Linked DNA regions of Caenorhabditis elegans. The protein of the gene in region 2 purifies or fractionates together with the protein of the main gene of each other region. This does not show direct contact. Each region holds a gene or a part of one and is shown on either strand. Other genes may lie near its edges.

Region 1 (6,641 bases), on a different chromosome or scaffold from region 2:
GCATCGAGGAGAGGTTAGAATTTAGTTTTACACGAGCTGCGTAAATCGACACAAGGCCGCTTCGATGCACCATGTTCCACTCTCAACTATTTTCCATCTCAAAACGTTCATTTTCTCTCAACTCCCGGTTTGCAAAGCTGTGTGATTTGTTTTTTTTTTTCATTTTCCACCAAAAATCAATAACCACACTTTTATACCCCCTCCTAATATTCTCATATCTAATACCCCCGGATAGCCACTAGTGATCTCTTTCCATCTCCCACAAAACTAAAGGAAACGTTTTCTTTCAAATGCCAAAAAGTATTTCAAATCTTTTTTTTTTTTGCAATTTCAACTTCAAAAACAAAACAAAATTCGTGTTTTCATCATGTCTTTCTCGCGGGTTCATATGTCGCAACACTTTTTTCAATGTTCTCCATCAGTTTTCCCCTAATATAATGTTTTTTTTTGCAATTTTTCTTTTAAAATCTGATCGTCTAGATGCCTTTTCTTTGTATGTTTTTCTTTTGAAATTTTCTCTCTTCGTATCCCAAAATCACATCACATCCCCTTTTTGACATTCTTTCTATGCACCCACACTAAACAAAAAAATTTCGATAAAAATTTTAAAATTTGATTTTTTGTGTTCAATTTTCAATTTCAAATACAGTACTGATTTTGGTATCGGATTCAGGATAAAAGAGCAAAAAGTGACTTTATCTGCAGCCGACACCTCAGGGGGGGGGGGGTTTCAAACAAATATATATTAAGAGCTACAAAAATGTTCAGCAAACAAGTTCATAATAATAAAATCATCGAGATAATCGAATTCGAATGAAAAGTGCAATATATCCAGCCAAATAGAAAAAGATCACAATTGAGCAGAGTCCAATAACATCCAATTGATAGTTGTCTTTGTTGAATGAGAACTGTTTCAGAATCAATTCTCGATACTGAAAAAGGATTAAAGTGGCATGTGTCACAAAAATAGAACTTACGAAAGGATCCCATTTCGGATTGTCCACTTGAGACCACTGATTCACGACGAGTCCTTCGAATCCATATCTGAAAATTCATTTGTCGTGAGTACGAAGCCGTTCAAAAGCGCATACGCCTAGAAACGGGCAAAATTTCTAACCTACACCAACTAGTCCATTGCATCCACCGAATGTAAACTGGAAAGTTATTCGTATTTCCATATAATCCACTCAACAGTGCAAAAAGGCCTGATGCTGGAACGGCAAAAGCAATTGCCAGCTGAAAAAAAACATGTGTTTTGAAAAATCTGATGTTAAAAATTTACCGAAGTAGTCTCGAATAGACAAGCCAAGAAGAGGCCACACGAAGTGGCAGACTGCTCGACGAGCACAGAAATTAGAATACTTTTAGCCACTTGTTGCCAAGTACTATTCAATCCAATCATCCAATATGATATTACAATCATTAGAGCTCCGTCGATTGTAAATAATGGGAGATATGACAGAAATCTGAAAGTTGAATCAGATTTATCAACTGTGAGATGCTCTTCTTGACAACGCAAAAAACCATTATTTGGGCAGAGCCTAATATTGATTTTTTTAATACTTCGTCTTTAGTTTCGTACAGTCACAAAATGCCTACTATAAGCTCTACCTACTACCAACGTGAATCTTGCTCTATTTTTTTTAACTGAAAAATTGATCCAAACACGGGAATTTGCGTCAAATTGCAGAAATGGGCGGTAGGCAGAAAATAGGCACATAGGCATGCAGTGCTAACCATGGAAGCATTGTTTTTCATATGCTCGGATGTTTTACTACCTATCAGTGCACTCAAAATATTTAGTTTTCAAATAAACGTATAGAAAAACTTCCCATATCGTGTCATGTTTCCGTACTTTTCCACTTTTCTAAACTAACCTCGAAATATAATAACTAATTACATAAAACAATCCATCATGATATTCTCTCGCAATTAATGGAAGTTCATGTTCCATAAATGTCATAATTCCAAACATCGTGGAGAAAGTGAGCTCCGCAATTAGAAAATAAAGAGCACTATTTGTGTTCCGTACTCCTCGAGGATCAAGTGGTTGTTGCCAATAAAGAGATCCGATGAATAAGCCCATCACCACTTTTTGAATTAGTTTCATTCGCATTTGAGCTGGAGAACGGATCACATCGAGGCAAGCTCTGAAAAATAATGTTAGAAGCAAATCAAATTTTTATTGCACCATTGGTTTGCAAAGAAAAGCGTGCATCATCATTTACTATATATAAAGCGCTTATTCTGTGTGTCCATAGTTTGTAGTCTATGTAGTCTTTGTAGTCTGTGAAGTTTTGACTTCTGGAGGGATAGTGAGTTGGGGTTAGTGTAGGGATATAGTCGGGGTACTGTAGTGGTACAATAGTGGTACGGTAGGAATACTGTAGGGTTACGGTAGTTTCATAAAAATTAATTTTCAGCTCTAGAAGTCGGGGGCCGCGCCGAAGGTGCGGACCACAGCTGGTTTTTTATAAAGTGCAATCGTGGTAGGATTTCCAAACAAAATTTTGGCAACTTATAGTATCTCGGGTCATTTTATAGATATCAGAAAATGTTGAACTACAAAACTATAGAAAAATACATGATAAATATTTTGTCAATTGGCAAAATTTCGAAAAATCAAAAACAACTGAGCTATGGGATGTCAAAGTTCAGCAACAGTTTGTGGTTCAAACATGGTGCATTTCGTAGTTTACCATAAAGAAGCGTGCTTTAACTATTATTTTTCCAGATAACCAACCTCTTTAACAATGCTCCAGTTTCGGCAAAAAATCCTGGATTCTCTATATATGGAGGTAGCTCTGTAGTCGCAATCACACGTATTTCCACTATAGATTTCTGATGAATTATCGATTTTTCATAAAATTCAATAATTTTTCCAATTGTTTCTCGACTCTTTGTCTCGTTGTTTGGTATCACTGACAATTTGGATTGTATCCATTCAGGTGGATTGAATAATTTCGGAATTGGATGGCCACAGTCAGCGAAAAACTGGAAAAAAGGTTTATTCGAAAATTTGTAAATTCAAATTATAGTTGGGTATCCGAACAATTCGATTTTCGATTCAAAATTATAGGCAGATGAGGGTCTCCACACGACTGAAACATTTCGGTATGCGCCTTTGAAGAGTACTGTACTTTTTCGCAGATTCCACATTCACTAATATTTTTCTGAATCCTCAGTTTCGGTCGTGCCAAGACCTTTTGGCGTGCGCCTTTAAATAATTTCTTAAATTTCAAAATTACCTTCACGGACTCATGAGGTGTTCCCATAAAAGCGGTTTTTCCCATCGACAAGAAAATAATTTTGTCAAATTGAAAAAAGAGCTCGGCAGTAGGTTGATGGATCAGTGTTCGACCGGAATTCGCGAGATTCTTCAAAATTTGTACAACACTTGCAGCCATAAATGAATCAAGTCCAGACGTTGGCTCATCAGCAAAAAGTAGTGATGGATTGGATAATAGTTCACAGGCAAATGTCAAACGACGGGCTTCACCACCGGAAATTCCTTTTACGAGTCCAGGTGTTCCAATTTTCAAATCTCGACAATTTTGGAGTCTCAGCATTTCAATAATCTCATCCACTCGTTCTCTACGTGTATGTTTATTGGCTTTCATCCGAAGTCTTGCCTGAAATTTTTGGGAGTTTGCGCGTAAAGTTTGATGTATCGAGTAGGCGCTGACGCTTGATCTTCAGAAATCGGGAGTTCTGGAGATCAAACACTGTCTTCTGATTATTACAGTTTTAGGTCTTGAAACGGTCAAAGTATTCTCAAATCAAAACTCCAGAAAAGAATGCGCGCCTCTAAAAGGTTACTGTACTTTTCATTCCGTATAGTATTTTTACTTGAAACTACGGTATTCTTTAAAGGCGCACGTTATTTTAGGTGACATTAATTCAAAAAATGTTATTCGTGCCAAGACCAAATACTGTATTTTCGTGCGAAAAAAAATGCTGACCTGGATCATTAAATATTCATCAACAGTCAATGTTGGAATGAAAATCTCCTGTTGTTGTGCAAAACCAGAAATCAATGAAATCTCCTTCCCGATCTTTGTTCCATTCACTTTCACGGTTCCATTCTTCTCCAATCCCTTCATATTCCTGCACATTAGCACATTCATTAGAGTGGTTTTTCCTGCTCCGCTGAACAAAATTGCTTCATAACTATAACTTCATAACTATAACATAACTAAAGTTTTACCTTGCACCCATTAATGCCACCATTTCTCCTGGCTTTGCTATTCCCGAGACTCTATTTAACAGTTGCTTCTGCTTTTTGGAAAATAGCTTTTTCCGAGTTTTTACCCTGAAATATGAAAATATTAAATTCAAACACCCGCGTATTTCTCAGAACTACGGTGTGCAAGCGGTGTTTGCGTACCGCTGCGGAATGCATCACAGCCTACGCGCAAATCATCATCATTTTTATCATTTCTTTCTCGAATTTTCTTTGTTTTTTGATCTTTGTGTTGAAGATTTGTTTATATTTTACAAAAATTATGACTTAAAAATTAGTAAATTGCTCTGGGCGTGTTATGTGATGTTACTATTCGTCAATTTTCCAACTTACTCGATGTTTTCCCACGTGACTGTGATGGGCGTCACCACTTCCGTCAGCTGAAAAATGTATTTTACTTCGTTGCAGCAATTATGTGTATTTTATATGATTTAAACACATTTCTTCAAAGATATATTTGTTGATTTCAATTTACAAATGCATTTCAGACCGAAAAAATACTAAGAATCTCCTCTTGAGCTAAACTCCACGTTTTCAGCTTTACACAACATAATTTTACCTTTTGGCTGCTTGTATCGATTGATTCGTACCCGGCATTCCATCTTTTTCTTTCCGCTAGTAAATCGAATGGCATTTTTGTAGGCATTTGACAAATAAACTATTTGAATTGATTCAATTTTTAATTAAAAATTATAGAAATGAGTAGATTGTTGATTTTCCAATCTAAATTTTATCATCACGGATACGTAAATTTTGAAAATAGAAAAAATAGTCTTACAACGCTTTTATTACGATTTTTATTTGTTGTAAAATGCATAATACAAACTTTGAAAAGCTTGTATTTATATTTAATGATTCTAATATGATTTCGCTTGATTTAGCTCAATTTTTTGTTTCCCTGTCGTATTTCGCAATCTTATCTCTCATCACATTGAACAGACAAGTGATTTTTGAACTATTTCGTCACTACTCGGACAATATAAATGCTCTTCGAGACTAGTGGAGGCTACAGAGTTCCTGATTTCTGTCATTTTTAACTAAAAAGTTAATTTAGAATGTTTCAATTTATTCGAATATTTTATCTTCTGGCTTTTTTCGTTCACAGTTTTAATTATTTGAAATCTTCATTGAAATTCTATCAATTTCAGAAAATGGTTCGTCGGCGCACTGCTTCCCCATCTCCATCGGCCCCAGTTCGATCGGCTCCACGTCCAGCCGCCCAGTCATCCTTCGCCGCTCCACCACCAAGACCAGGTAAAATTTAAGCCATTATTTTTTTTCAAAAACTCTTAAAATAATATTTCAGCCGCCGCTGCTCCAGCTTATCATCCACCAGCAGCTCCAACTCCAATGGGAGCCCCAATGGGTGCTCCATCTCAGGGACCAGGATTGATGAAGCAAATGGCTGCAACCGCCGGAGGAGTCGCCATTGGATCCGCTGTTGTGAGTAGTTTTATTTAAATATATATATATTCCCCGGATTTCGAAGCTAACCTATTTCCAAGACCATAATTTGGGAAACACTTAATTAAAATATCGAATTCTAAAATTCCAGGGTCACGCCGTCGGAGGAATGTTCACCGGAGGCGGTAGCTCTCATGCCGAGCAAGCTCCAGCTGCTGCTGCTGCTCCAGCCGGTGCTCCACAAGCTTCTGGCTACTCGCAGCCATGCGAATTCGAGTGGAGACAATTTGTGGACTGCGCACAAAACCAATCTGATGTTTCTCTGTGCAACGGATTCAATGATATTTTCAAGCAATGCAAGGCCAGATATGCCTAATCACAGTTCCCCCGTATAGATATTGAATTAAGTGAAAACGTTTAGCATTTGGTGGAAATTGATTATTTCTCTCTGAAAACTCAAATTCTACTTTATGGTTATCGCTTTCAATTTGACTTTTTTCCTTTTTTTTGTCGTATTTAGCTCCCTGAATTCCAAATGTTCCGTAGTTTTGTTCTTTTTCAATTTTCCCCAGTTTTCTGTTCGCAAATAAATTGACTCGTTGTTTTCTTGTTTTCCTCGCAGTCTTTCGCACTGATTTTTGAGGTATTTGCCATGTTGTTTTTATATTTTCTGGTTCATTCGCGATTTTTAAAAAGCAAAAAAACACATCAATGAGCGCGCGGGTCGGCCTCCAAACACTCACTATAAATACTGCAGAAATCGCTTCATTTTATTATTCCTCCGCTCGCTTTTTCTCTTTTCTACTGCAAGATTTTTATCGATGTTTCGTTGCTATGCATTTTTAAACTCCCCGAGATTCAATTTTTAATCTTTCGAGAAAAAATAGAGTTTTCAATAATATACGATAATTTCTTATTAATTTAGAGAAATATTAATTTTTTAAAAAATTTAAATCGATATATTTTGAAAAACTATAGTTTTTTCGCCATATGG
Region 2 (4,532 bases):
CGGTGGTGAAGCCCACAGGTAGAACGGCGATTATTAGTTGGCAGATAGTTGGCAGACCGCTGGCAGTTAGTAGGCGAACAGTGAACGGTCCACCAGCGGTCTGCTATTTATCTACCAGCGGTCTGCCATCTGTCATTCTGCAAATCAACTGCCGTTTATCTGTTTTTGAATATTTTGCGGTCTGCCAATGAAAATTTTTCCCACCACCCCGCGGACTCGAACCAGCGCACCCTTAACCCTGTTGTTCCTAAACCTAAGCCGTTACCTGTGAAGCCATCCCGCGCACATTCTCATATGAGTTTGCGACGACTTAAATATTGATGCCCTCGCACGAGTTTCGTTAAATGGCCTTAAAACTGATGATGTAAGCTTAAAAATGTATCCGACACTGAACTTGCACCGGATTTGGACGGCAAAACTTGGTTTTTATCACTTTAACGCTGGAAAATATGAGATAACACAAGTTTTGATGGCTGGGCTGTGGGGTAGTCGAGTGGCTGCCTGCTGGGTTCAATCCCACGCAGGGTAAAATATTTTTTGTGATCATTTTTAAATAACTTAATGATTGAGTTTTTGTTTCTCTGCAGTTTGTATAGCTTTTCTAAAAAGTTATTTCATATTTGGGTTCATATTCTGTTTTTTAAAGATGATAAATAGATAAAAAAGGTGAAAATTCTGATTAAATTAAATTAAATTTATCACAATTATTAATTGTGAAAATCAGACACCAAAAATACAAAATTACAAATCAGATCAATGGGGAGCAGAAGTCTGGTATATCAACGTCTCGTCTTTCCACTGCTGGTCCATGCATTTTCAAGAATTCACGCTTCTTGCTCGATCTTGTCGTTTAACACCTTCTCCACAAAAGTTGCTTCGTTTTTGAACTCTTCGTCCGTCTTGTACCTTGCAACAAGTGTTGAGAAATGCCGGTCTCGCAGGATCGTAGGCGGGTAAGCCGTTCTGCACAGCTTGATCAAAGTGTACCCATTATTGTTGCCAGTTGGTAGATTTATTTCCAATTTTTTTAGTGGCTCCACCAGGGAAGTATCGATGTACGACATTTTTACTGGTTCTGAAATTGGAAGAAAATTAATATTTAAATAGAAAAAAAAGATGCTGCCGCGCCAAAACTATTGGTTCTTACTATAACTTACTATAACCTTACTATAACCAAGTCTCTCACTCTCTCGTTTTTCTCTGAATATCGTAAAACACACACTATTCGTCAACGGTCTGTGGCAAGAATTCCTAAAATGGTATTTTTAACACTCTATCACTACTCACATCGCCCCAGGCGTGATGTACCTCTTCATCGGGATCGAACAAAATATCGAAAGCATTCGCTATTCCCGGTAGGTCCATTACGTGATCTGAGCAAACACACAACGAGCACGTGCATCAATCATCTGGAAATAAGACGTTTTGCAAATCTGGGGATTTTGATTTCAAATGTGGAGTAGCTGAATTCGGAAACATCAGAGAAGAAAATCTAGGAAGAATAAAAAAAATTTTAACTTTAACTTGATCATCCTTCAGATTTTCATCTTGTGCGACTCTTAAAGGTGGAGTAGCGCCAGTGGGCATTTTGTCTAAATGCACTTATAATGATCCAAAACAACTGAATATCATAATAAAACACTCCAAAAATTTTTAGATTTTTCATAATTTCCGGTCAAATTTCCGGTCAAAGTTTTTGGCAAATTGCCAAAATTTTGAAAAATATGAGCTTTTGAGGAAATTTAAAGAAATGTCGCATGTTTCGACCCCTACAATGTTCTAATACAAATAATTTAAACAAAATTAAAACATAAAAAATGTAGAAAAAATTTTTTTTTTTTGGTCGACTTCCAAAATTATGAGTGGCAAAAACTGAGTAATTGTCACTTTTTGACAGTAAATAAAAAATTTCCAAAAAATTTTTGAAAAGTTTTCTCATGATATTTGGTCATTTTGGGACCAAAAGAGTGGTTTTTAACAATTTCCCCACTGGCGCTACTCCACCTTTAAAACCCCCAGGGGCGCGGGGCGGGGGGCCTCCTTCCTATGATTCATTCACCTCGGTAACACTTGCATTCATGCAAATCATGTCTTGTTGCTTCTCTTATTTCGGAAAAAACGCCATCTGTTTGCCGTCATCTAAACGGCAGATGTTTCGGAAAAGAAAAGAGTCAAATTCTACTGGGGTTTCGACTACATCTATAGTGTATTGGTAAAGCATCTGTTTATACGAATCGTGTCCTGGGATCGAATCCGGGGTAACAAAAATTATGAAATAGAGTTATGAAATTAATAATAATCATTTGAATTATTACAGTAACCCAATTACGAAATAGTTTCTAAAAAAATCTCTCTAACTTTCTCTAAATCTCTCAAAAACGCACGCTATAACCAAGTCTCTCACTCTCTCATCTTTTCACTAAATCTCTCAAATTGCACGCTACTCATCGACTGTCTGCGGTAAAAATTCCTAAAAATGGTATTTTTAACACTTCTAGAACTCAGTGCAAAAGGCCACTTCTTCTTAATATATTGAAACTTTAAATCTAAAACTTACCATTTCTCAAAAAATCGATACGAAGATTGTCCATAAAATGTTAAAATAATCAGAAAAAATAGAAGAAAGTCACCATACACAACGCGACATTGAAGACAGAATAAAAGGAAATGGCGGCAAATGTGTTGGGAGAGGGTTTCCACCAGACCGGCGCAGATGTCAAGGCAGACGCCCAGCCGGTGCCATTTCTGATTTATTATAATTTTTGGTTGGGTTCTGACGTAACTTTTGAACTGAATAGTTTAACTACTAATATAGTCTCTGAGAAAAAATGTGTGAAAATTAATTATTAAATTAAATTAAAAAATTTTAAAAATTTTAAAATTTTAAAAAATATATTTAAATTTTTGAGGGATTTTTAAATTTCTCATTTTTAAAGGTTTTATCGCTGATTTTTTTAAATTTTAAATGTAGAAACAATCTTTAAAAAATGATGAAAAGCCTGTGCCTGCCTGTGCCTGCCCGTGCCTGCCTGTGCCTGCCTGTGCCTGCATGTGCCTGCCTGTGCCTACCTGTGCCTGCCCTTGCCTGCCTGTGCCTGACATCTTGACTTTATTCAACAAGTACAACTTTAACATCGTCATCAAAATTTTCGACATTAAAAATATCAGAAATTCTAGTTACATTATAAAATGACTTGATGGCACACCTAATTGAGCTGAGCAGTAAAATTATTTCCCCGGCTTCTGGAGGGCTCCTGTGCTCCGTGAGCAACTTGAAACAGTGGTCGCGGTGAGGAGCAAGATCCATGTGATTTTGAAGGTAATTCGCTGAAAATTTTGAATGGTTTCCCAAAATTTTAATATTTTCGAAGCTTATAAAAACTATTTTAAAAATATTTTAAAATGAATCAAAAGTGTACATTATCACAGTTACTATGCATACTTACACGTATGGGCATTAGGTGAGGACCCATGTATTAATATGGCATCTGTACATGTAAATTCAGAATCCCACAAAACATGCTAAAAGGATTAAAAAAACGACATATTTAGAGTTTGTGGGTAGGTGCATTAGTTTTAAATATATTTAAGCGGTTTGAAACTTGTTGAGTACTTTTTTTTAACTGAAAAAAATATTGCTGTGTATATATTTTGCTGTATTTATATATATGTAGCTACCGTATTGTATATATTAGAGTTACACCCCTCTTTTTTTTTAGTGACAGCATCATTCAGTTAATTTCAGTAATATTGAAAAAAATTTTGAACGATTTCAATTTGTGCTTTCTAAACAAAAAAAAGGCCACCTTTAAAGTTTGGTTTTTCAAAAATTAGATATTTATAATCTAATAGTCTTCCTATATGCAAAGGTTTTTTTAAATACAAAAAAATAAGCTTAAAATATAGTTAAGGAATTTCTTATTTAAAACATTTTATTTAAAGCATCAAAAAAAAATACAGTGCTCGGTGATACATTTAAAAAGACAAGAGCTGTGATAAAAATTTAAATTGTTTCAGAATTGTTTACGTTGCTTGATTGTTCCACACTGCAGCATTGATCTCGGCAGGAATGTAGGGATGTTCGTCCTCGAATGTGTGGGGGTATTCAGCAGAATTCACTCGATGAGTTGTCCACACCTAGTCTGTTACAGAGATCCTGAAAAATCTTACTCAACACTAAAAAAATATGCTTTTTTGCAAATAGAACGTGTCTTAAGTTAACTATATTGATATCACACACCTCATGTAGCCCTTGAGAAGGGTAGAAGCGCTGCACCGCCAGTAGCCAGTTGAGTGTCTGCTTATGGTTGATTTGCAACTTTCCTATGGGTTCTCCTACCAGTGTATCCAGCCTGAAAAGCATTAGATTTAAGGAGGAAAATTTTTAGATTAAAAAAACAGAGCAACTCACCTAAGCCAATATGTTATTTTCTTAATATCTGCTCTCGCACGGTCCATGTTCCAACGGATAAATGCATCCAACATAATAGAGACGTGAAGTATTATAGAGGTTTTGATACTGTCCAAAAGAC

Evidence for each region.
Region 1: the proteins of Y17D7C.6 (region 2) and wht-3 fractionate together in Caenorhabditis elegans (co-fractionation; one large-scale study listed by BioGRID). This does not show direct contact.

The regions. Positions count from the first base shown.
Region 1 is NC_003281.10:4,146,663-4,153,303, forward strand, and holds wht-3 (ABC transporter ATP-binding protein/permease wht-3), read right to left. Parts: upstream 4,937-6,641; 5' UTR 4,890-4,936; coding exon 4,803-4,889; intron 4,624-4,802; coding exon 4,577-4,623; intron 4,313-4,576; coding exon 4,208-4,312; intron 4,150-4,207; coding exon 3,963-4,149; intron 3,633-3,962; coding exon 3,249-3,632; intron 2,995-3,248; coding exon 2,744-2,994; intron 2,151-2,743; coding exon 1,878-2,150; intron 1,467-1,877; coding exon 1,283-1,466; intron 1,237-1,282; coding exon 1,118-1,236; intron 1,045-1,117; coding exon 978-1,044; intron 933-977; coding exon 792-932; 3' UTR 763-791; downstream 1-762. Other genes in the region: har-1 (Hemiasterlin resistant protein 1), read left to right, coding at 5,395-5,497, 5,550-5,686, 5,799-6,023. UniProt on the Caenorhabditis elegans protein: Required for efficient RNA interference (RNAi) of pop-1 indicating a role in the germline development.
Region 2 is NC_003283.11:18,707,937-18,712,468, reverse strand, and holds Y17D7C.6 (uncharacterized protein), read right to left. Parts: upstream 2,660-4,532; 5' UTR 2,592-2,659; coding exon 2,558-2,591; intron 1,410-2,557; exon of another isoform or gene 1,309-1,409; intron 1,076-1,308; coding exon 825-1,075; 3' UTR 613-824; downstream 1-612. Other genes in the region: Y17D7C.1 (Transposase), read right to left, coding at 4,106-4,156, 4,241-4,352, 4,412-4,485.